Linked DNA regions of Tamandua tetradactyla. The protein of the gene in region 1 interacts with the protein of each later gene in a biochemical or structural test. Links are inferred from orthologs where the notes say so. Each region holds a gene or a part of one and is shown on either strand. Other genes may lie near its edges.

Region 1 (7,810 bases):
AATAAATAAGAATAAGGCACTTTTTAGGGTTAAGTTGGGAACGAGCTCTTTTCCCACTAGAGTCTGAAATAGACCAGTGCAACCCTGGAGAGTACTGGCTGTCCCATTCCTCCTTCTCCTTTGTCTCTAGAAGCTAAGTCAAGGCAGAGAAAAGGTAGTATTGGTGATGAAGTCACTGCTCTGTGTACCATTTAAACCTTACTTAGGTTACTAAACTTCCCAGCAAAACCAGAGAAAACTTACTTGGAAGTTGAAAAACATTTCAACACACTTTAGGCAGCCAAACCACACTGAAGTGCCGAGCAGATGAAGCACTATTTGTTTTAAAAGTCCACTTTATTTCTCTGTCTTTTCAACAAAGGTGGCAAAATGATGATTAAATATTAAATAATCTCATCAGAAAGATGCTACCGACTTGCTGAATCTATGATTCACTAATATGCAAGTTCAACGCAATTCATAACTTTAAGAATTCTTGATGAATGAATTACCAGAGCCCCTTGCATCACAAATTCCACAAGACATGTAAAGAACCGACATCATATATATAACCCGACAACCATATTTACTTGGGACACTTACAAAAGGTCTCCTTCTAAGGAAAATATTTCCCCCATAACCTCATGTTTAAACACCTACATTACCGGAGACAAAATACAGCTCAGTTCTACTAACTGAATTGAGTTATTGTACGTAGGAACGTCTTTATTCCCCACCACCACGAAAAAAAAGTCCCATAAAAAAATTTTTAAGTGCATATCATTCTGTTCTTTTACAAGCTTCAGAACCCAATTAAATTACCAACGTGATAAAAGATAGAAACTCCGGTAACGCTTCAGAGATCAACATGTGTCACACACTCCCAGTTTGTTCGTCTCTAAGACACAGTTGATTCCTTTGTTCCTTCAGACTGAACACCAACTCCTGATTAAAATTTGGAAACTACTTTGGAAAGGATGGGCGGGTGTGCAAAGTATTTCCAAGGAAACCCTTCATAAAACAACACTCATTAATAGGAGGAACACAAGGAAAGAGAAAAGGAGCTTCCCATATCCTCCCAAGCCCTCTAAGGGCTCACTCTATATGTGAACCCGGTTCTTGACTCACAAGTAAAATGATGGTTGAGGCCTGGTGTCCAAAGAGCCCTGGGCGGACGGAAAAGTAACGGGGACCGGGCCTGGGAGACGAAAGGGGCCAAGAGCTGTCCCTCTTCCTATTCACTTTTCGTGGCCCGGAATCTGGCGAGCACAGCTCAGGGAGGCACCAGGGCGAGAAGCGGGAGCTGTGCCCGGCGCCGCCCAGGGAGCCGCGGGGCAGCAGGACGAACAGCGGCGCGGCCAGAAGCGCCGGACACTCGTGGCCGAAGGGGCAACTGAGGGGAATACGACCCCGTCCGGGCGACCCGGCCACCCCGGCCCGTCACGGCGTGGGCGACACTCTGCCGCCCCCCCACGCCCGGCCCCGACCCAGGGCCAGTTTGGACGGGCTAGCGAACCCGGGTCCAACTCCCTAACTTGCCCGCCCTCGCTGCCCTGCCCCCCGAGTTCCCAGGGAGATTCGAGCCCCAAAAAGAGGCGGGATTTCCCCGGAAACAATTCCTCCTTGCCGCCAAGCCCACGTCGCGCCCGGAGTTCGCTCCAGCCGCCGGCCGCCCGCCGCCAGCCCTCGACGCCCCCGCGGCCCTACCGGGCCAGCGCCGCCGCCGCCGCCGCCGCCGCGGGCCGCGCTCCGAAGCCGTTTCCGGCGGCGCCGGTGGCGGCTCCTCTGAGCTCCCGGGCCGCAGTCGCCACTCACCCGAAGCCGCCACGGCTCCGTTAGGCTCACTCCACGAAGGCTCCCCGCCTCCCCGTCCTCCCTTCGCACCCCACCGAGCTCTTCCGTCCGACCAGCAGGGCTGCGGAGCACAGCGGCGGACGCAAGGCCACGGACGGGCGCGCGCGAGGGCGTGGGGCCGGGTGGTCCCTCCGCCTCGACCGCCGCCGCCTCCTCCGCCGCCGCCTCCTCCGCCGCCGCCGCCTCGCAGCCTCCCGAGTTCGGGGCTCTGCTGCAATGTCTGCGAGGCTGACTTTGAGCGCCTCGCTCGCTGCCCGCCCGCTCGCAACCGCGCTCCTCCCTCCGCCGCCGAGTCCGCCGTGGCCCAGTCCCTCCCCTCGCCGCTCCACGCCATTCAGCTCTTCAGCCAAGTTTCTTAACCCTTTTTTTCCCCTCCCTCCCATTGTCACCGGGGCAGAAGCTTGCCGCCCAGGTCCAGGCAGCTCGCAGGATCTTAGGAACCCCTCTGTTTTGTTTTCTTTTCTCCCGTCTTATGGATGGCCGAGCCGGGGCTCCAGAGCCGGGAGACAGCGGGAGGATCGCGTCTGCCGGAAGAGGTGGGTGCTCTGCGCGCCCGAGTCGGCCCCCTGGGCGCACGACCCTGTCCAGCCACCCCCGACCGCCACAGTAGTCTGGACAGCTCCTCGCCGGGGCCTGGGGTATCGTTCTCGTTACACTGGCCAGATGGTTCACGTTTGGGGCACAGCCTGGGTGCCAGGGCTGCTGGCGCCTTATGGTTCTCTCTCCTCCCATTTCACCCACAACACGCGTTCCCTTGGCTCCCTTTCACCCACCCTCCAACTTCCACCTACTTGTAATTTGTGTGTCCTGCCTTCATCTTGTGGGACACGAGCACTAACTCTGGATCACTTTGACCCCACTCCCAAGATATAAGAGGCACCCAAAAATAAATGTGGAGTGACTCCGATAGAAAAACTAGGAAGAAGACCTGAGGAGTATCCTTTCAGCTCCCTGGACGGACGTAGGACCCAGAAGCAGGGCTTATCTTCAGCTGCTTTGTCACTATGTAGTCTCCAACAGAGTCTGTCAGCGAATCTACATCATCCCCGGAAAGGATTTGACCCATAAGACAAGGCAAAAGAAATAGGGCTGCCACTTCTTCTGCAGCTCTCTTCTGTTCAGTCTCCGAATAAGAAATAACAATTACATCACAAGGCCGGGGCGGCAGCGCTGTGAAGCCTCTGGGTTTCCTGCAGACTAATCTCGCTGAACCCGCCTCTAAATTGGGGGTGGGAGGAAAGGAGGTGGGGGGAGGGGGGTGTTAGACTGGTGAAGCGAAAAAGTGAAGGAAGGAGTGTCATGTATAAAACCATAATTTCTTCTTTTCCTTGTATTTTCTGTTTTCAGATCTTATCCTCAACGCTCCGCAAACATCTAACTATAACTATTAACACCCCCTCAACACCTCCCCAGATGTCAGGTTTCTTTTTGACTCTAGCATTTAGTAACTTGCCATGAAAATATTCTCAGGGGAAATGAGTGCCGTTACTGAAATTATTTTTCCTTGACACAAAAATGCTGAAGTACAGCTTAGCCTCACCCTAAAACTCCCAAATGGTATATGCCTGTATTAAAACACTTCTTAAACAAAACAAGTAAGTGGATGAAGCACTAAACTCTTAAATGTAGGTGTTCACATCCTTAGGAATTGATAGCATTTGAAAGCAGAGTTGCTAGCGCACTTAGAAAAAAAAAACCTATCCAAGTCATAAATCAGTATTCTATGCCTGTTATGTAATGGCTGCATTGTACAATTAAAATTTCCTTTAACATTTAAAGCTGTGAATGAGAGTTTGAAAATACCTTCACGATCTTGAAATCAAAACTAATTTTTAAAATTAATGCTTATTGAACCCGACAGCTACCACAGTGCCCAACACATAGTAGGAATGTTTTGCTCGATGGTAATGGGGCTTTTTAGAACAATAATTTTACATGACCCAGGTAATTCAACCACAAAATCCTTTGCCATCTTATACAGTTTAAAACTCATGTAATAGCTTATTATTTGCATTTGCCACAGTTCAGAATCTGCTCAAAGTAATTTACTTTAAAAGTCTGTTGTTCTATAAGACATTATTTATACAAGATTAATGCCAAATAGACTGTTGTAGTAAGTAATGATCAGCAAAATTGGAACTTGGCCCTTTAAGAGAGCAAACTTCTTTAAAAAAAATTTTATTTAATTGTTATATAAAGATTTTCTAAAATGCGTTGTGCTTATTTTTGCTTTCTTAAGGAGTTTATTGGATTTGATTTGGCATTTTCTTGAAAATCCAGGTTATATTAAAATTAATTATTGTAGATGGTAGTGGGCTTCACAAATACATCATGTTTCTTTTCTATATTAGGCTTCTTCCTAGCAGATAATGGTCCCAGGAACTAAAAAGTATATAAGGCACCAACTCCTGCACTGAAGGTCTCTAGAATTCTATGGCTCAGTAATTATATCTGCCTTTTGTAGTTTCTCTCTCTCCTCCATTCACTAACTGACAATCTGTTGTCCTTTCTGTTGCCAGCGTGTTGGCCTCTAACATTCCTCTCCTCTCCTGATTGGCAGCTTTTAGTCTGGTGCAAACTGAGGATACCGATAGCCTCACTGTCACAATTCTGTTTAAAGTCAAACTAAATAGGTTCTGCATAAGTGACTAATGTACTCAGTGTGTAAGGCACTGAGTACATTGTGAGTAGGGCACATTCACTTTAGCTCATGGACTTTGGGACAGGTGTTTGGACATCTCAAACGTTGCTTTTGAAAACAGTTATTTTGCTCCTAAAGAGTTTTAGATCATTGGGATTGTATGACTTCTTAATAAGCGAGGGTACACAATTAACTCAACAAGCCAAGTATTAATCCTGTCCTCTAATACGAGTTAAAAACCACTACCAAATGCTAGACGACTTAACAAAGGGGGTGCAGAAGTTGCTCACCTCTTGTTATTAATCTTTTTTCTCAACCCCAACAGAAATCCAATCATTAAAATCCTGAACTCTATTTGATCATGCATTAGTGTTAAGTAAATTGCACACCTTTTGTGAAATTCATTTTTATTTAATCATGCCAGTTGTGTTAGGGCTATTTTGTTGTTCTTTAAAAAAAAATCAGTATCTAAATTTGCTGGCTTAGAGGGTCATCAGAGGGATACTAGGGCATGTATATGTGTACAACATAGGAATGCCTATTCAGTAATTTGTGTTTTTTGGCATGGGCAGGTTCCGGGAATTGAACCTGGGTCTCCAGCATAGCAGGCGAGAGTTATGCCACTGAGCCACCATTGCACCACCCAGTTATTTGTATTTTGAAGCCAATTCTCATATTAATAAATTGTGATGTATAAAAGATGCCTTGCCATTTATATACTTAAACACAGAAGTATTTTTATAAATCCTTTGGGATCCAACATATAAAGTTCAGGCTCAATTTGCCTACCCACCACAAAGATGTAGTCTGGGTAAGGTATGACTCTGAAGTGCTTCCTAAATCTCTCCTGTTATAGCACTTATCACACACAGTGTGTAATTGGGTGTTTATTTGTCTGTATCTCACTCTAGAATGCAAGCAGTATAGGTGTAAGGTCCATATCCCTCTCATACTACCACCACCTGTCACTATGCTGGGCAAACAATAGGCATTCAGAAAATACTGTTCAAGATCTTTTGTAGCCCAGAGGGCAGTGTTTAATTCTACTTGGAATATGGGTGTAGGGCTAGGGCATTCAAGTAAATTTTATAGAGAAATAATGCTTCTGTTGGAGATTAAAAAGATAGGAAGAATTTGCCAATTAGTCTAAGGGGAATGGGGATTCTCAGGAGAAGAAGTAGGTTGTTTAGCAATAACCCTGAGAATTTTTTAACCCATATCATACACTATGGAATAAAGTATGATACCATAGGAAAAATACATATAAATGTAACTAGATAATATACGGGTGGAACACTGGTGTAATTATGCTATAGTTAAAGTGCCTTAGCCTTTAGAGCACTGCTGCCCAGTAAAATAATACAAGCCACTAATATGAGCTATGTATGTATGGTAGCCATATTTTAAAAATTGAAAACAAACCAATAAAGTTTATTTTACTAATGTACTCTATGTACCGAGTGTAACCAAAATAGTATCATTTAATGTGTAATCAACATAAATATTAGATATTTTACAACCTTTTCATACTGTCTTCTACCATCTTTTGTATTGAGTAAAAATCCAATGTGTATTTTACACTCACAGCACACATCAATTTGTACTAGCCATTCAAATGCTCAATAGCCACATGTGGCTAGTGGCTATCTTTTGGACAGTGCAGCTCCAGAGAACTTGTGAAATCTTTAACTAGGTACAGTGAAAGAAAATTTTCTCTTGTTAAGTTTTAGATTTTTGTGTGTGCCCATTACTGGTGTTTTTGCTACTTTATGAAGACCATTTTCTTGTGCCTGGGCTTTTATGCCAGTTAGACAGTCAGCAAGGTTTACATTTTATGCACTGTATCTTTATTAATCGTACTGTAGTCACAACTCCTACCTCTATTAACTATGGATTGTAAATGTAAACTGATTTTACAGAAAAAATAAGAAGCTTTACATTTTAGGTTGAATAAGCTTTAAAAAGTCTTTCTTAGAACATAGAACTACCTCTTTGCTGGTTACTATCAAACATCTCCCTAGCTTTAGAAAGCTAGGGTTTTTCTCTTTAACTGTTCCATGTCTTTATTTGGGGATGACAAAATCCACCCCAGCCTTTGTTCGAGGCAGCCACCTACTTCAAGATGCAGTGAAGATGTGCTGCAGCCTCCTGAGCATTTAGGGAGGTCTAAAGAGCAAAAATGAAGATATTTTGACACTCTGCAGCTTACTGTGCAGCTTTCCCTTTTTATTTTAATTTGGGCCTTAGTGCCAACTAATGAGAGTGGAGGCCTTTTTATTTTAGGTTAGGCCTTAGTGCCAAGGATTGACAATAGCAGAGTGCTCAATTTCTATGCTAAAATGAATCCTGAAAACTAAGGTTAAGTTTAAAAGAAAAAAAATCGTAAATGATTGCAAAAAAAGCAGTTGAAACTGCAAGGGAACAACAGATACTTCAATGAAATGCAAATATGGATGTTACCTTCTCATTTCCCAAATTAAGAAAATGTCTAGTATAGTCAAGAGGTCCAAAAAGCCAAGAAATCCCAAGGAAGTTAAGGAAAACCTTTGATAATGTATCAGTTTTAATATGTCTTAGCAATTGAAAGTAAATATGTGGAACCTATCCTTTTTATACAGAAATGGGATTAAGTAGATATCATTAAGTAGTTCTGTCATAAATGAATGCAAAAGTTTTTCCTCAGGACTTCACAAACACACATCCATATAACTAATCAATTAGATAAAAATATGAGCCTATTAATTATTAGAGGTTTTATTCGAATAGCTTTCAACTAGAGCAAAATACATATTTGTTTTCTCAAATTAATTAGGGTTTCTGTAGTGAATGTGATGTATGTTTACTAATTGTTTTACTCTTTCAAACGAAATAGACATTAGATTAAAGGTAAGACATATTTGTTTTAGATTTTACTATTTGGCTTAAGAAACAGAAAATAGCTATATAGTTTATCTTTGCACGAAACCAAATCAAAATTATCACCCCAACACTACCCACCCCCACTACCACGCCCAACACACACACACTCACACAACCTAAGATTTCAAACAATTCAGCGGGGAAGAATCATCCGTTCAACCAATGATGCTTGGACAGCTAGATATCCACATGAGAAGAAATAAATCTGACGCTCCAGACAATATGACGAGCAGTCTCACCACCCTCCCCCTCTCTGCGTGGGACATGACTCCCAAGGGTGTGGACCTTCCTGGCAACGTGGGACAAAGATCCTGGAATGAGCTGACACTCAGCATCAAAGGACTGAGAAAAACCCTAGAATGAGCTGAGAATTAACATCAAGGAATTGAGAGAAACTTCTCGACCAAAAGGGGGAAG
Region 2 (7,760 bases), on another chromosome or scaffold:
CAGGGAATGGCAAGGCCCTAATACAAAATTGCCTCCTATGGGCCAGGGCTGCTACTAACCACTCTACACCTGTGGTCAATCTTGAGCCCTCTCCATCATCCTAGGAGGTAAGTAGTTTTCCCTTCACCTCCCAAAGTAACATTTGAGAGATGAGGCAACTTGGCCCCAGAGAGATGAGGCTGCGACCCAGAGTCACAAAGCAGGGGAGTGGTGGGAACAGGATTCAAATCCACACAGTGGAGTCCAGAGCCTAGACTTGCAGACTCTGAGTGCTCCTGGCTCTCTAAGAGCCCCTGGGTGGCCTATTTGCCCTCTCTTTCAAGCTCCAGCCCAGGTGGTCCCGGGCCACAAGACCCCCGGGAGGAGGAGGAAAAGGGATGTAGTCCTGACCGAGGCTTCCCGCCTGCCTCCCTCCCCAGGAAAACAAAGCCCAGGGTCTCTTTCCTAAGTGGGGACTTTCCCAACGTGCCAGGCCTATTTCCTGGAGGTAGAACAAGGAACAAACAAACCTGAGACCAAGAAACTGAAAGAGAGGGGAGAAATGGGTTGAGGTACAGTGTAGAAAGGAGATAGACTGAAAAAGAAAGAAGCCAGAAAATGAGAAAAGGAAACTGCACTGACAGCAAAAGAGACCCAGAGATGTTCAGAGCCTGGGAAAGAGAAGGAGAGAGAGAGAGCGAGAGAGAGAGAGACACTGAGGCAGAAAATGAAAAAAGAGAAAGGGGTAGGGGTCCAGAGAGCTGGAAGCAGAGGGAGTGTGGAGACCCTGTGCCGGGCAGAGGAGGGGGTGGGCCTGCTGGCAGCAGCAGAGGCTGTTTCCGCTGTACCCCTTATCAGCCTGCTGCCAGATGTTCAGATCCGATGCCAATGTCAGAGAAGTCCATAGTGCCGGGTCAAGGCCGTGGCCGCGGGAGCCTCAGCTGCAGTGTGGGGAGGGGGGCCAGGGGCCTGCAATGGACCTGCTCAGTCTTCCCCCTCCACCTTTTGGCTCTCTGGCTGGACCACCTGGTGGGGGTGGGGAAGACCAGGTGCCTCTGGGAGCCACTTCTCCAGACAGAGAGTAGAGACTTGGGGGAGGCAGAGTGGAACTCCTGGCAACAAATGGACACATACATCTTTGTACAGCCCCACATGAGAGGAAGCACATGGACACATGCCCAAGACACACACGAGTGCATATGAGTGCACAAAGCCAGGCGGGGACAACTCACAGATAGTGCTCCATCACTGCACCCCCTCTGCACCCCACAGCCTGCTGGAGCCTCTGTTCTGCATGATCAGCTCTATGGCCCTCTCACCTGAACCAGGGTTGCAGTTAGAGCTCTTTGCAGCTGGCAGGGTTTCCAGTGGCCACCCTCCTCCTCTGTGAACATGATACTCTCACAATCTGCATGCTTCTGAGGGCTGGGCCAAGGGACCCGGGACCCCCTGGAATAAGAGGCCTGGTGGAGATCCTCAGCAAGAACTGCAGGAGCTGCATGTCAGGCAGTGCTGGGGCTGCAGCCTTGGGATTGGGACTCTCCGCCATGCTCCCGGAGTGTGCAGCCACAGCTGGGGCTCCCTTCCTAGGGTAGCTTATCTCACCGTGCACACGCTTGGCCCTCAAGGGGTGACCCAGCCTTGCTCCCCACATTCCTCTTCAACCACGCAGCCGGTGGGCCCCCCACAGACATGAGACAGAGCCTGTGCTTGGGGGGTGTGCAGGAGCCGTCATTCAGAGCCCCACCCCCCACCCCAGGTCCCAGCCCTCTGCAGCCATCTCTGGGGTCTTGTCTTTCTTTCCTTTTTATCTCTGAGCATCTCTCCAGTTTTATCTGACCCCATGAATCTATGTCTGTCATTGTTTTGCCCCAATCTATCTTTTGGAATGTCTATTTCTTTCAGCTTGTTTCAGTCTCCCAGTCTGTCTCTCTTTGCTCTGTCTCTCTCTGGGGCCCTTAAGGGGGATTAAATCCGGGGGTATCACTGCTCTTCTTTTTGGCTCATAGTAGCTAGCCTCAGTGGGAACATATGAGAAATCAGTCTTGGGGTGGGCATGGGGGAGGGCCTGGGCAAATGGAGGTCTTAACTTGTAATTGGTGCCCTAGGCAGCCCTAGCAGTGCAGGCCCCCTTCCCACCCACCTGCTAAGAGTCAGTCCAGATACCGGACATTGATCAGAGCCTGGAGCTGGTGGGCTCCCTGGTATTGAGGAGAAGACTGAGGGGTAGGAGGAAGAAGCTGGAACTGGAGGTCTCCAGGCCTGAGGGCCTCCTTCCTGTTTGTAGGGAAGTGACTGCCTCAGAAAGCTGCTCAGGGGAGAGGAGGGAGGCCACAGTGACTTCCGGGAAGCTAGCCAAGGGCCCGAGGCCACCCTCCCTGTACCCACATGGGGCCCTCTGGCCCTGGCTTAAAATAGTGCAGTTCCTCCGCTGTTGCTGCTGGGCCCGGCCCAGCTCTCAAAGGGCTGCTGGCTGCTGGCTGCTGCTTATACTGCCAACCGTGGCCTGGGATGGAGGGGGACGCACCCAACTATGCAGTTCTTCCCCAGATTGAGGCTGAAGGCTGTGTGTTGGCAGTACGGGTGGGAGAGGGGGCATTGTAGGGAAAGCAGTTCATGGAGTTAGAAGCCTTAGATTAAAATCTCAGCTCCAATAATGATCAGCTGTGTAACTGAGATGGTCCATGCTGCCTTCCTGAGCCTCAGTTTCCATTTATGTAAGATAGGATGAGGGCTTGGCTTCCAACCTAAATAAGACCACCTATATAGGCTCCTCAGACCCTTGCCAGGCATAAAGTAGACATTCAGAAATTGGGAGTTCCCTTTGCCTCTTTTGCTAGATTGTACCTCAAACTCCTCACCCTGAGGAAGGGTCCTTGTAGCTTTCCTCAGTACCTACACTGTTCCTAGGACTAGGTGTTGAGCAGGGGAGGTCTGTGGAGAGGGAGTTTCCAGGGAGGGCAAGGATGGGACTTTGGTCTCCATGGTGAGACTTGTTGCCAAGGGAACAAAACTCCAAGAGCCCTGGGTCTGGCAGTTGGGCACTTTAGCCACAGCCCAGAGAGGCTGATTACCAACACTGTGGACCTAGAACCCTAATAGGCAACCAGGCTAACGGCAGGTCAAACTCTGCTGGATTTCTGCTTTTGGGGTGAGGGGCTGCAGCTCCCCTCACACAGCTTCCTCTTATGAATTGACTTCATTAAGCTCCTACTTTGAGCCAGCCATGGCCAATCCTCCTTAAACCCCTGAGACATAGGTACTGGCCTCTCTATTTATCTAATAGGGAAAGTGGCTCAGAGAAGTATCCACTGGATCCAGGTCATGTGTAACTAGTATGGGGGAAAAGCTGGGATTAGAACTCAGGTGGTAAGACCCCTGATAGATGTGCCTGCTGTCACATGAGTTGTCCGAGGGAAGTGATCCCTGGGAGAGGGCTCCATAGAACCACACCCAACCCCCAACCTCATTCCAACACTCTCCCCTGCCATCACTTCTGGTTTTCTTTTTTTTTTTTTTGTTCAATCTCTGGCATAACCCAGAGCTGCCAGCACACCCTGCTGCTTCTTCATTTACAGAGATGATCTTAATTTGCCTCACAGGGATTGCACAAGGATAAAGATCTTTGCACATATCCTGCCAAATAGTAGGTGATCAGTGCCAATTTATACTCATTCCTGAGGTCACACTAGCTATGTAGCCTTAGGCAAGTTGCTTAACCTTTGTGCGCCTCAGTTTTCTCATCTGCAAAATGGGATCATTATAGCACCAACTTCATTGGCTTACCTTAAAAAATCAGTAATCTAATGCACTTGAAATGCTCAGCCCATTGCTTTGCTTAGCTCACTCTGTATTAATTACTTTATTATTCATTTCTTCTAGATTATTGCCTGGCACTTGAGGGAACCAAAAACTCAGTGTTAGTTAAGTAGAAATTTATACATTAAGATTCCATGGAATATTGTCCCAATAGAATTTTCACAGCTATGCTAGGGGAAAAATGTTTCATGCTCAAAAAATGTTTTTGGTAGACCTTGGGTTAAACAAAATCAGTTTTTTTCAGTTAGGACCTCTCAGAGCCCTTACTATGTACCAATGAAAGTTGAGAGTCAATGAGCAGAAGATAAAGTTGAGCTGAACACTCATGGTTTGTTTACTTTTCCTTGTGGGTATTATACTTCAATAAAAAGTTTAAAAAATGGTCAAAAAAAAGAAGAGCAAGTGAAGTATTTCCCCAAATTTTGCCAATAGAACTCCTACTTATTTTTCCATGGAGCCACCTTTTGGTGTATGTTCTGAGAAGTCATATATTTGGGACAGCACTGCTTTTCAGCTCAATTTGGTTGGGTCTGTGCATCTACCCCTTACAGAAATTAATCTTTCGTTAGTTTAATAGAGTTTTGCTTAATAGCAAAAAGTTCAACCAAAGGCCATTACTGAGCTTTGTTACAAACTCCAGACGTCCATATTCAGCACTACTGAATTGCTAAGGCTGAGCAGGGAGGCTGCCTTGTTGTAACTTTGCTATCAGATAGACCTGGATTCAAAAGTCAATTCTGCCATTTAGTCATGTGTCATTTTTGGCAAATGGCTTAACTTCCTCAAGCCTCAATTTGTTTATGAATAAAATGGGGCTAAGACCTAACCCTTGCAAGGTTATGAGGATTACATGAGATAATGCACATAAAGCACTAACCATGGTGCCTGGTACTTTATAGGCACTCAGCAAATGTGTTCCCCCCTCTCCTTGTACCTCTGTGTCTTATGTTTACTTTTTGTGGGGCAAGGAAGAGTCTATTAATAATTCTGCAGTGTTTTCTTTGTCTTAAAACTATCGCTTTCAAACCTCAAGGGCTCTCTGACTCCTTTGTGCTAGAGGCTGAGGTTTGGGAAGGCAGCTGGGCTTCCCCTCATTCCACATGGTTTAATACACTTTGATCATACTCTCTTCATACTTATCTTCCCAGACTGAGAAGCCTTCATCTTTCCCATCTGTCTTCACACAATTCTCATCCCTAGTCTGCCCCTTGTCTGATCACATGAGCAGCAGGGTTACAGGAATGTTGGGAAGATCTGGGTTCAAGTCCTAACTGTGCCACTTTCTGTGTGACTTTGGGCAAGTCCCTTAACCTCTCAGAGCCTTTATGATTTCAGCCATAGAAAAAGTATTAATAAACGCCATCCTTTTTGTAGAAAGATAACTATTAATCTGCTGGACTGCTGTCACTGATGTGTGCAGCTCTTTCCTGAGACTTAGCAGATGGTTTTTTCCCTAAACCCCTGAATGTGGCATTTGAAGCTTCAATTTGCTTGATACGCACTAATCCCCACATTCTGTTACCACTCTTGCTGCTGCAGTCCCTTGCTATATCTGATTGCTCCATATATGTATATATTCTTGGGGGCTGGGGGTGCATGGCCAGGGAATTGAACCAGGGTCTCCCGCATGGAAGGCGAGCATTCTACCACTGAACTACCCTGAATACTCCATATATTTTTTACTTACAACTGGACCTTTGCATATATTGTTGGTTCCTTTACCTGCCTTACCTTTCCCTTTTTGTCTGGTTACTTTCTTCTAGGCTCACCTTCAATAATATTCATCTGTGAAACCCTTCTTGACTATCCTGAGTAGAACAATGCACTCTCTCCTCCAGGTCCTACAACCCACATACATCCCTAACTGCAACCCCGATTCCACTGTACTGCATAGGTCTGGGTTTGCCTCTCCCAGTAGACTCAGTTCCTCTAGCTGTGCCACTTTCTGGCTGGGTTACCATGGGAGAGTCCCTCCACCTCTTGACCTCATTTCTTCACTTATAGAATAGTTAGTAATTCTAGAGATTCAAAGAGGTTCAGATCTGTGAAAAATTCTAGCACTGGGCCTGGTACACAGTCAGTGCTAGTTCATTGATTTAAGAAGTTCTTAGAGAGGCATCCCTTCTGCCAAACCCTCAGCAATAAGGATTGTGGTAGGTTTCATCTCTAAGAGGAGCCGTAGGTCTGAAGGTATGAGCTAATTGCTTGGGATACCCCATCATCCCTCCCCAGAACCTTAGATAAGACAGATGCCATGTGTAGAAGGATTCACATTTATTGGTTCAAATACAGTACCTAACACTTCTAAACATGCATTTATACTAATTGGTCACATTTCCACAGGTAGTCAATTCACAGAACAGGGCCCATCCCTTGCCAGCTGGCAGGGTGGGAGGTAGCAGAGGGCCTGGGTAGCCCACAGAGCCCACCAACTATCATTTAGTTATGCATGGTTGATGGAGCCAGGCTGGGGCAGCCCTTGGCCAGCCCTTTGGGGACAAGGGCTCAGAGACATCCCATTTACTCGATTCCTACACAGGACTGTGGGTAGAGGCAAGCCTGGAGAAGCCCAGGGGCAGGCTCGTGGATGCATGTGCCACCAGATCCCCCAAGGATGGAGTTTGTGGGAGGTGGTGTTCCCTATGCCATGGAACACAGGAAGAAAATGGAGGCCTTTTCAAGGGAGTGGCTAGTCCCTGGTTGGCAGGTGGGAAGGACTCCCCAGACATGGCCCAGACATTACAATGCAGCCACAAGGCCCTATCGCAGACCTGGGATGGCAACACAGACAAAAACACCAGCACCCCAGGGCAGGCAGGCTTTCTTTCCCGACAGAAACATGTAAACAGAACAGGAGTTACAGTGTTCTTTTCCCACAGAATTCTTCAGAGAAGAATCGACCAGGATGTTACTCAAGAGGTAGTTTTTTTTCATGGAAATTTGAGTTCAACATTATCACCTAATACAAGACATTTCAGAGTAAGAAAACAATAGTCACCAAAAGACAAAGATGATCCTTTGGTTGGTAGGACTGGCTCCAGGATTTGGAAGACTAGCCTCCACCATTAATTCAACTTTTTTCTTGGGCTTGCAGCAGGCTCTGGCCTGAGTCACAGCTTCCCTTTTAGGCCCACGGTGGGTTCCTGAGCAGGCCATGGCCCATTTAGGCTGCAGGCTTGAAAAGGGAGGCCAGGTGGAAAGTGGACTGATTAGAGGAACCAGGCTTCTTATGAGCTGGTAGAGGCAGGGCTACCATGGCTCTTGTTGTGGGATAGCTAGAAGTCTTAAAGTCTCCAAGTCCCCAGGTCTGGCCAGACAGGAAGTCCCAGCAGGCTCTCTGGCCAGAGGAGGGGGCTCCTGCCTCTGAAGAAAACCAGGTCTGGCTCCCAAGCCCAGAAAAGAAGCTGTTGCCTGTGGCAGCCGAGAGGGGATTTCTGGGGACCCTGTAATTAAATACACATCCCTGAGCTGTGGCCCTAGAAACCCTTGCTTCAAGGCTAACCAGTTTCTAGCATCTGGTGGAATGATTGCCGTTTCTCATCCTGAGACACAGATAAAACATCATATCACACACTGGACATAGATGCTTCAAGCAGAGAAAAAAAGGGAGGAACGATAAACTGCAAAGGCAGAAGGGAGTGCGGGGAGACTCTTGTGGGGAGAATCTTGTGGGGGGGAGTAAGAGTAGTGTTTTTTTTTTTTGTATTTTTCCTTTTAAAAAAATCAATAAAGAAAATTCAAAGTGTAATAAAAGGGCAAGTCTGAAAAGACTGGATTTCTTAAAACAATTATAAAACTTTAAACAACAACAACAACAAAAATATATAGACCAGGGTCCAGAGCTAAAGTCTTGGAACCATGTTCAACTGCCTGCCCAGCTGGGAGGCCAGTGCTCACTTTACTTTGGCTAACCTTGGACACGGCTTAGATGTTGCCCATGCTGGGTTTGTCTTTCTCCATTT
Region 3 (6,923 bases), on another chromosome or scaffold:
GTTAATATCACAGTAGAAAAGCTGGTTCTATTTATATTCAATAGTGGACTTCATGAAACAAAATAAACAATAAATAAATAACACCTTTATCTCCAAACTCAATAAAACAAGCAAGGTTATTAGTATTGGAATAATGTTCTACGGAAAGCTACAGGACAATCTATTACTGAGGTTCTCTTTGAAAATTTCTTTGTGAAGGCAGGAACATGAATCAGATGCTTTCTTCAACTTTGCTTCTGACCCTTCAATTCCCTAATTACCACTACTCCAAAGAGAAAAGAAACATTTATTGAATATCTACAACGTAAAAGATACTTTAATAGGATTAAATTAAACACACTTAAAATGTATTTCCTACTAATAAAGGTAATTGTCCATGTTAGACCTGCCACTAGGGGGAGTTTATTTTGTTTAATAAATTGAATTGAAGGCTGGAAGAGCTTCAGGATAAAATTATGTCTCTTACTCTATCCCCAAATTTTATGGAACTGTAAATTTAAATAACTGTTTTTCAACAGTCTTATAATTGTGCTAAACAACATATTTTCTATGCAAGAAAAGTAAAATGGTTATCACTTAAGGAGTCAAAGCTAAGAAGATCTGGAGAGTATTGTCAGCCGAACAAGATGGATTTTTTCTGTGGGAATGCTGACACGTTTTACACCCCATTAGCCACAAACTAATAATTTAACTAAAAAAATTACATTAAACTTAGGATTAGGTTTAATGGCCTCACTCCTAAATCAAAGTTCCCTTTGATTAACTCCATTATAAAGTTAACTTTTTCATCTAGGTAGAAGTTTGCAAACCATTTCACTTGAGCATGTAAATGCTAGCACTAGGCTTTCCTTAATAAATGATATTTTAAGGCATTCATATGATTAGAAGTAATGCATGATGTTCAGTAAAGATCTGACAGCCATCTATACTAACTAAATGAGGGTGAATGAGGAAAAATGCTTTAGTTATACTGAATTACAAGAAATTACTAAATAAGGTATAGTAAAGTCTTAGGAAGTATGTTAAATATTAGGAGATTATAATAAAGCGTCCATATTATACAAGTAAAAGGAAAAATTAATACAAAAGGAAAACTAATAAAATATTAACTATAAATTAATAACGTTGCCTTCCATAATGAATATAAAATTAAGGCATTTAATAACAATAATAATAAGCCAGGTGTGTCATTCTGTAACACACTGACTGAAATTCATATCTTAAAAATCCATCAGGGAGTCTGTCAGATTTTCTGATCACACACATAAAACTCATGATACTCTATTATATGATAAGCTAAGGATGGTATTATATTAGCAGCCTCATGGACAGGCATTTTGGATATTTCCAAACTTAATCATCAAGAACAAAGTTAAATTGGACAAATAATTTTACATAAGAAGCTATTTCACAAAATGCGCTGTTCTGTAACCCAGACAGTAACTGCTGACTCAGCAATATACCTAATGTCAGACACAGAGGATAAATAAGACTTTTGGATTTTAATCAGTCTATTTATAGACGGTCCAATATCCTTTGTTAATGCCAATTTCTTTGTCTAGATTTGAGGCACTAAGATCACAGAAAATCTAAGAGGAAATTAAAACTTTAGAATGATGAAATCTTCAACCAATAATTAGTTTCAAATGCAAATCTTAAACTGTTATTTCTCTATTGGCATTACCAACTAAAGTTTTAAACAAAATACATATTTTTGATGTACTGAACAGACGTTTAATGGGCTTTTAAAATAGTTTATAAAAAATTTTAAAATATAGATGAATTAAAGTAACTCAGATTATAATTAGGAATCGACACTGGAAACTGATAAAAGGAAATCTGTCGCAATTTTTTTTTAAACACTATTTTAAAGTACTTGCCATCTCATACAAATATGCCGCTTCCCATGACTCCCATCCAAGTCTGGAATCACTCTACTAGAATTGAAAAAGCTTGGAGGTAGGGAAGAAAGGGAACTAGAGGAAGGTACTAAGAATGAAAACGACTCTCTTAAATACAGCTCCATATATTTCACTTTACAGACTGCAAATGCACCTCACAAGTGATGGCAAAGCTTCCCAAAAACGTGACTACGAATTCAATTCCCCATTGCACCACTCACACCTGACACCAAACCTTACTACTCTCTTTACCTATCTATAGGCACGCTGGACGCTACAAAATGACAATCAAATAAATAAAACTGCTCAACAGAAACCCAGACGCTCTAGCCCCCTAAAATCAGCTTCAAAACGGCACGTTTTAAGCTCTTTAAAACTCCTCGCCCTACCCAGATGTCTGTCTTTTCCAAGATTGGGAATTATGACAGTCGTCTTCTCTAACCGATGCGGACATTAAAATAAGAAGAGGATTTCGAGCAGATTTATGCTAGCTAATCCACCAGCAGCACAGGGAAGGCCAGAGCTGTCCACAAATTGGGACCGCAGAAGGGAGAATAGAGCTGTGAAGGGGTGGGGTGTGGGTGGGCTCGGCACTGGTGTCAGAAGGGACAATTTCTTAACTTAATTAAAAATTTAAAAAGTCCGAGTCTCTCGACCGACCTTCAAATCTGGATTCTATCGGCTGTGTTGGAAATACCACCTAACGCCCGAAACGCGGGGGTGTGGGGGCGGGCCCCTCCCAGAGGTGCCAGCCGGACCCCACGCGCCTTCCAGCCCCCTCCACCCCCACTCCCCCGAGGATGCCGCCCCGAACACTCACGTTTTCTGCACCGGTTTTCGCCGCTTGCGACTGGCATAGGTGATGTTGGCGCTGTTGCCGTTCATGGTGCCCGGCCAGCGGCGGCCCTCCGACGTCCTTGCGCCCCGCGTTGCTCCGGGCGAGCCGGCCGCCCGCGCTGGATTCCGAGAAGACGCGCCGGCTCCACCTGCGTCCTCCCGCGCGGAAGCTGGGGCCTCGGCTCCCGCAGCCCCGGCGCTTCCAGGTGTGCGGCGGCTCCAGCAGCCCAGACCCTTCCAGGTGCGCCTCGGCTCCCGCAGCCCGGGCCCTTCTAGGTGCGCCGCGACTCCAGCAGCCCGGACCCTTCCAAGTGCGCCTCGGCTCCCGCAGCCCGGGAGCTTCCAGGTGAGCCGCGGCTCCCGCAGCCCAGGCCCTTCCAGGCGAGCCGCGGCTCCCACAGCCCCGGCCTTTCCAGGTGCCCCGCGGCTCCCGCAGCCCTGGCGCTTCCAGGTGCGCCGCGGCAGCGCGGGGCGCCCGGGCCTGGCGCGCGGGGCGAGGGGCGCAGGTGCCGCCTATACCGGCGTGGGCGGGGCGGCCGCAGGTGAGACAGCCCGGGCGCAGGAGGAGCCCGGGCCAGCTGCTTGGGTGCCTGGCCTGGGTCGTGCGCGGTGCCGCCGCGCCCCGTGACCGGCTCCGCGCCCCCGCGGGTGAGAACAGGCGCCGCCGCGCTGCTCCGGGGCTTCCCCGCCCGCGGAATCCGGCGCCAGCCGCCAGTCCCGGTGGTCACCAGCTTCCGCTCGGCCGCTCGGCTGCCCCTACCTTCAGCTCGCGGGTCTGGGCTCGCCGTCGGTACCAAGCGTCCAGCGCACTCTGCCCGCGCCGCTTCCAGTGGCGCGCGCTGGCAGGAGAGCAGAAGGCCTGAGACCCCTCACGGCCGCCGCCCCTCCCATCGCGGTCCCGCCCTGCCAGCCTCGACTCCTCCCTGTCAGGCTCTTTCCCTGGAGGGTCCCCACCCTCCTGAGCGTAATGACGTCAGACGCAATGACGCCCTTCAGTTGCCATTTTGGTGAGGTCAAGAAGAGGTTTCCTCTGTGGACCTATTTCCAGGTGGGGAAAGGGTGTGACAACAAGTTACGTGTAGCCAAGCTTTCTGTAGCTACACGATATCAAATAGTGAGTTTAACTTCACCTGTTTGAGAAAGAGTAACTTTTGACTGAGAATTACAGTGAATTGAAAGATAACCAGTAGGACTGCTTAAATTGTTCTACTTGGGAAGACTTTAGAAGGTCACTTCTGAGTTTAGACTTGAAGGCTAGGAATTTTTGCAGCAGGTTTTTTTTTTTTTTTTTTTTTTTTTTGTCGTCTTCGTTGTTTTTTTTTTTTTTTAACAATTTGTCTCCACACTTCTCAGTATAATATCAGGATAACTTATTCCAAGGTCAGGTTTCAGTAAGGTTAGTGGAAGAAAGGAAATGGGGAAGCACTTAGGGCAGGAAGTGTTGGGAATAAGTAGCAGTCTGTTCTAATTGGGACAGAGGGAGAGAGGAGCTGGGCATGCTGTTCAGAGATTTGGGGATTAATTCATAAAGCTTTGATGAAGAGTTTAAAATTTATTTTGTAGGCAATGGAATCTTTTAAAATATATTTAGCAAGGGATTGCATTCTGGTGTTTTAGAAAACTGCTCTGGGATGAAGATGAAAGCTGGATTATAAAGATTAGAATCAAAGAGAGTAGTTGGGTAGTTGTTGAAATAGTTGAAGTAAAAGTCCAGGCAAGTAGCAGGTGGGATGGAGAGAAGAGAAAAAACACAGATGAAGATAGAAAGGATAAAGAAATAGGGGGTAAGAGCGCACTCGAGGCTGGCATCCACAATTTCTGTAGGTGCTGCTAGCCAAGATAGTGGGCACAGAGAAGGGTATGCAGATTAGGATGCCTAAATGGCATCTCACATATCTATTCCTATAGTTCAAATGCCTTCAAGCCATTTCGACAAGTAAATTTGTAACCTCAAACTGAGTGCATCAAAAAATTGAAAGCATTTCTTTTAGCTAAAAGTATGGTTTGTAGCCATCCCCTAAGATTTTTGAAGTTTCCATAGGCAGTTTTTGGATAGTAATATGATTTTTTCTTATAATGAGTAATTTGCTTAAAAGACTTCATGAATATTTGACTGCCTTATCCAAAGCAACGCCATCCTTCTAATTAGTTTTGTGATTATTTTCTGAGGTTTCAGATACAGATTATGTTTGGGTTCCATTTTCCTGTTAGACTGAGAAAAAGAAGTAAATTTCAGGAATACTTTTATAGATAACAGTTGTTTTAGAATAAAGGGGGTAAAAAAGAATGTGAAACCTGTTTTATCACAGTACTTTGATTTCATTCAGCAAGGTGTCCAGTGCCAGATGCTGTGGGATACAATGGAAATATCAGAGATAACCCTCTCAGTGTTATATTCTAATCGGAGAAACTAGAATTGATCAAATAATACACAAATAAATGCGTAATTGCAATAATAATAAGTGTTGTACGAGCACGATAAGAATGTGTAATTGGGAGATATGACTTAGGGGAAGCTGCCTAGAAGAGGATTGAGCTGAGATCCGAAGCATAATGAGACATCTTGTGGGAGTAGTGGGCAGGGGAAGAGATTCATGCAATCAGGACGCTAAGTAGAATTTTCACTTCCTCTTCATTCCTGCAGCTCTTTATTCCAGGCCTTCAGAATTATCTTTTTTACTTATATTCTGTGGTGTATAACGTACTTTAGAGAGCATAACCCCATGCTTCCCAAACCGTACCCAGTGCCCTGGGAGTACCATCTTGGAATATTTTAAATTTTCAAGGGAAACTCAGTGATACTGAGCAACAATTGGATACCATGTAAACCCCTGGCAAGAGGTGGTTCACAGCTCCAACGTTAAATGGTTCCTCATTCCTCTCGATGAAATCATATCTAGATGGGCTGTTGTAACTAGCTGTGATAAAATGCAAGGACTGGAAAAATCAATGTGGGACAGAAAATGAAGATGTTGATTTCCAACCTGACTGCAGGGTTTTGGAAGATATGTAGTACCCATCAGACACACACATCCCGTTAAGACTAAAATAAAATATTGTTTTTTTAAAAGGGTACATATATTTCTTCAAATAGCCACTAAGTTATTAGGAGAAACATATGTAATCTTGAACTTAACTTGCACTTAAGTGCAATTGTTGAGTCTGATTTCTTTTAGTCTGTGACAACATGGAAGAATTACTGAGACACCAAACTGAGAAAGCTATAGAAATTTAGGCATAGCTAAACCTTTCATTTAACAGATGAGAAATGTCAGGCCCAGATGGGTGTAGTGGCCTGTGGATCACACCCAGAATAGAATCCAGTTCTTGTAAACTCCTGTTTCAATCTAAAATATATATCTTATCTCAGCTGGAACTATCTTATTTCTTTAAAATAATTTCATTTATTCATCACTTTTTTTTCTACTCTAGCACTGAAGAACAGACTAGGGGCTGTTTCTAAAGGCTATTTTTAAATGCATAATGCCTTCCTGAGTTACTTGACTAGTCTACAAAAATGTCCTACTCAAAAGAACCAAACAAGTAATTAACAGGTGTGAAGAACTTTGGAAATACCTTTTAGACTAATGTCAATGCTAAAACTGACAAGGAAACCTCAATAAAAAATAGGGATATTTTGTTACTAGTCAAAGTAAAATTTATCAAGGATAACACTTTGTCATAAGAAACATCAAGACTAACACATAAAAGAACACTCTATTAAAGTTAATACAATTTAGGCTTACTTAGATTTTGATTTTTGCTTTCTGGACTTTCTGTTCTTATAAATGTGAAATTTCATTAAGGGAAAGATTATGAAAAAAATGAAGCTAAAAGTCCTATCTCATTTATTAAACATTTTATTAAATAATTTATGTCTCTCATATATATATATGTCTTTTTTTATTTAAAGCCATGTAGCAATTGGGATAAATACAATTAGGATCTACATAACACTATATACATAAATTTTTTCACTTTAAATCATAAGCAGAATAAACTGTAATGAAGATTAAATGCATTTAGATTAAGGAAAAACTATTGAGAAAAAGAGAAAATTACGACTTTATAAGAAAAGCCTAAAGAAATGTAAATTTTTGTGAAACTCTGACCTAAAGTATGTAATTTAGATTTGCTAAACTTTAAAAGACTACATGATTTTATGCATATTTAAAAAGCAAAATC

The links. The genes of interacting proteins can lie anywhere in the genome.
Region 2: the proteins of NRIP1 (region 1) and NR5A1 form a complex in vitro, tested with the Homo sapiens proteins (2 studies listed by BioGRID). The link is inferred for Tamandua tetradactyla from reciprocal best matches to the Homo sapiens genes NRIP1 and NR5A1.
Region 3: the proteins of NRIP1 (region 1) and AHR form a complex in vitro, tested with the Homo sapiens proteins (2 studies listed by BioGRID). The link is inferred for Tamandua tetradactyla from reciprocal best matches to the Homo sapiens genes NRIP1 and AHR.

Annotation. Positions count from the first base shown.
Region 1 is NC_135336.1:72,551,616-72,559,425, forward strand, and holds the start of NRIP1 (nuclear receptor-interacting protein 1), read right to left. Parts: upstream 3,019-7,810; 5' UTR 2,762-3,018; intron 2,744-2,761; exon of another isoform or gene 2,625-2,743; intron 2,370-2,624; coding exon of another isoform or gene 2,050-2,369; exon of another isoform or gene 2,022-2,049; intron 1,963-2,021; exon of another isoform or gene 1,795-1,962; intron 1,648-1,794; exon of another isoform or gene 1,222-1,647; intron 1,209-1,221; exon of another isoform or gene 1,108-1,208; intron 1,092-1,107; exon of another isoform or gene 1-1,091. Other genes in the region: uncharacterized protein LOC143648536, read left to right, coding at 2,050-2,369, 3,181-3,211. UniProt on the Homo sapiens protein: Modulates transcriptional activation by steroid receptors such as NR3C1, NR3C2 and ESR1. Also modulates transcriptional repression by nuclear hormone receptors.
Region 2 is NC_135328.1:46,602,863-46,610,622, forward strand, and holds the start of NR5A1 (steroidogenic factor 1), read right to left. Parts: upstream 3,002-7,760; 5' UTR 2,879-3,001; exon of another isoform or gene 2,827-2,878; intron 1,429-2,826; exon of another isoform or gene 1,299-1,428; intron 1-1,298. UniProt on the Homo sapiens protein: Transcriptional activator. Essential for sexual differentiation and formation of the primary steroidogenic tissues. Binds to the Ad4 site found in the promoter region of steroidogenic P450 genes such as CYP11A, CYP11B and CYP21B.
Region 3 is NC_135327.1:106,847,410-106,854,332, forward strand, and holds the start of AHR (aryl hydrocarbon receptor), read right to left. Parts: upstream 3,002-6,923; 5' UTR 2,787-3,001; coding exon 2,722-2,786; intron 1-2,721. UniProt on the Homo sapiens protein: Ligand-activated transcription factor that enables cells to adapt to changing conditions by sensing compounds from the environment, diet, microbiome and cellular metabolism, and which plays important roles in development, immunity and cancer.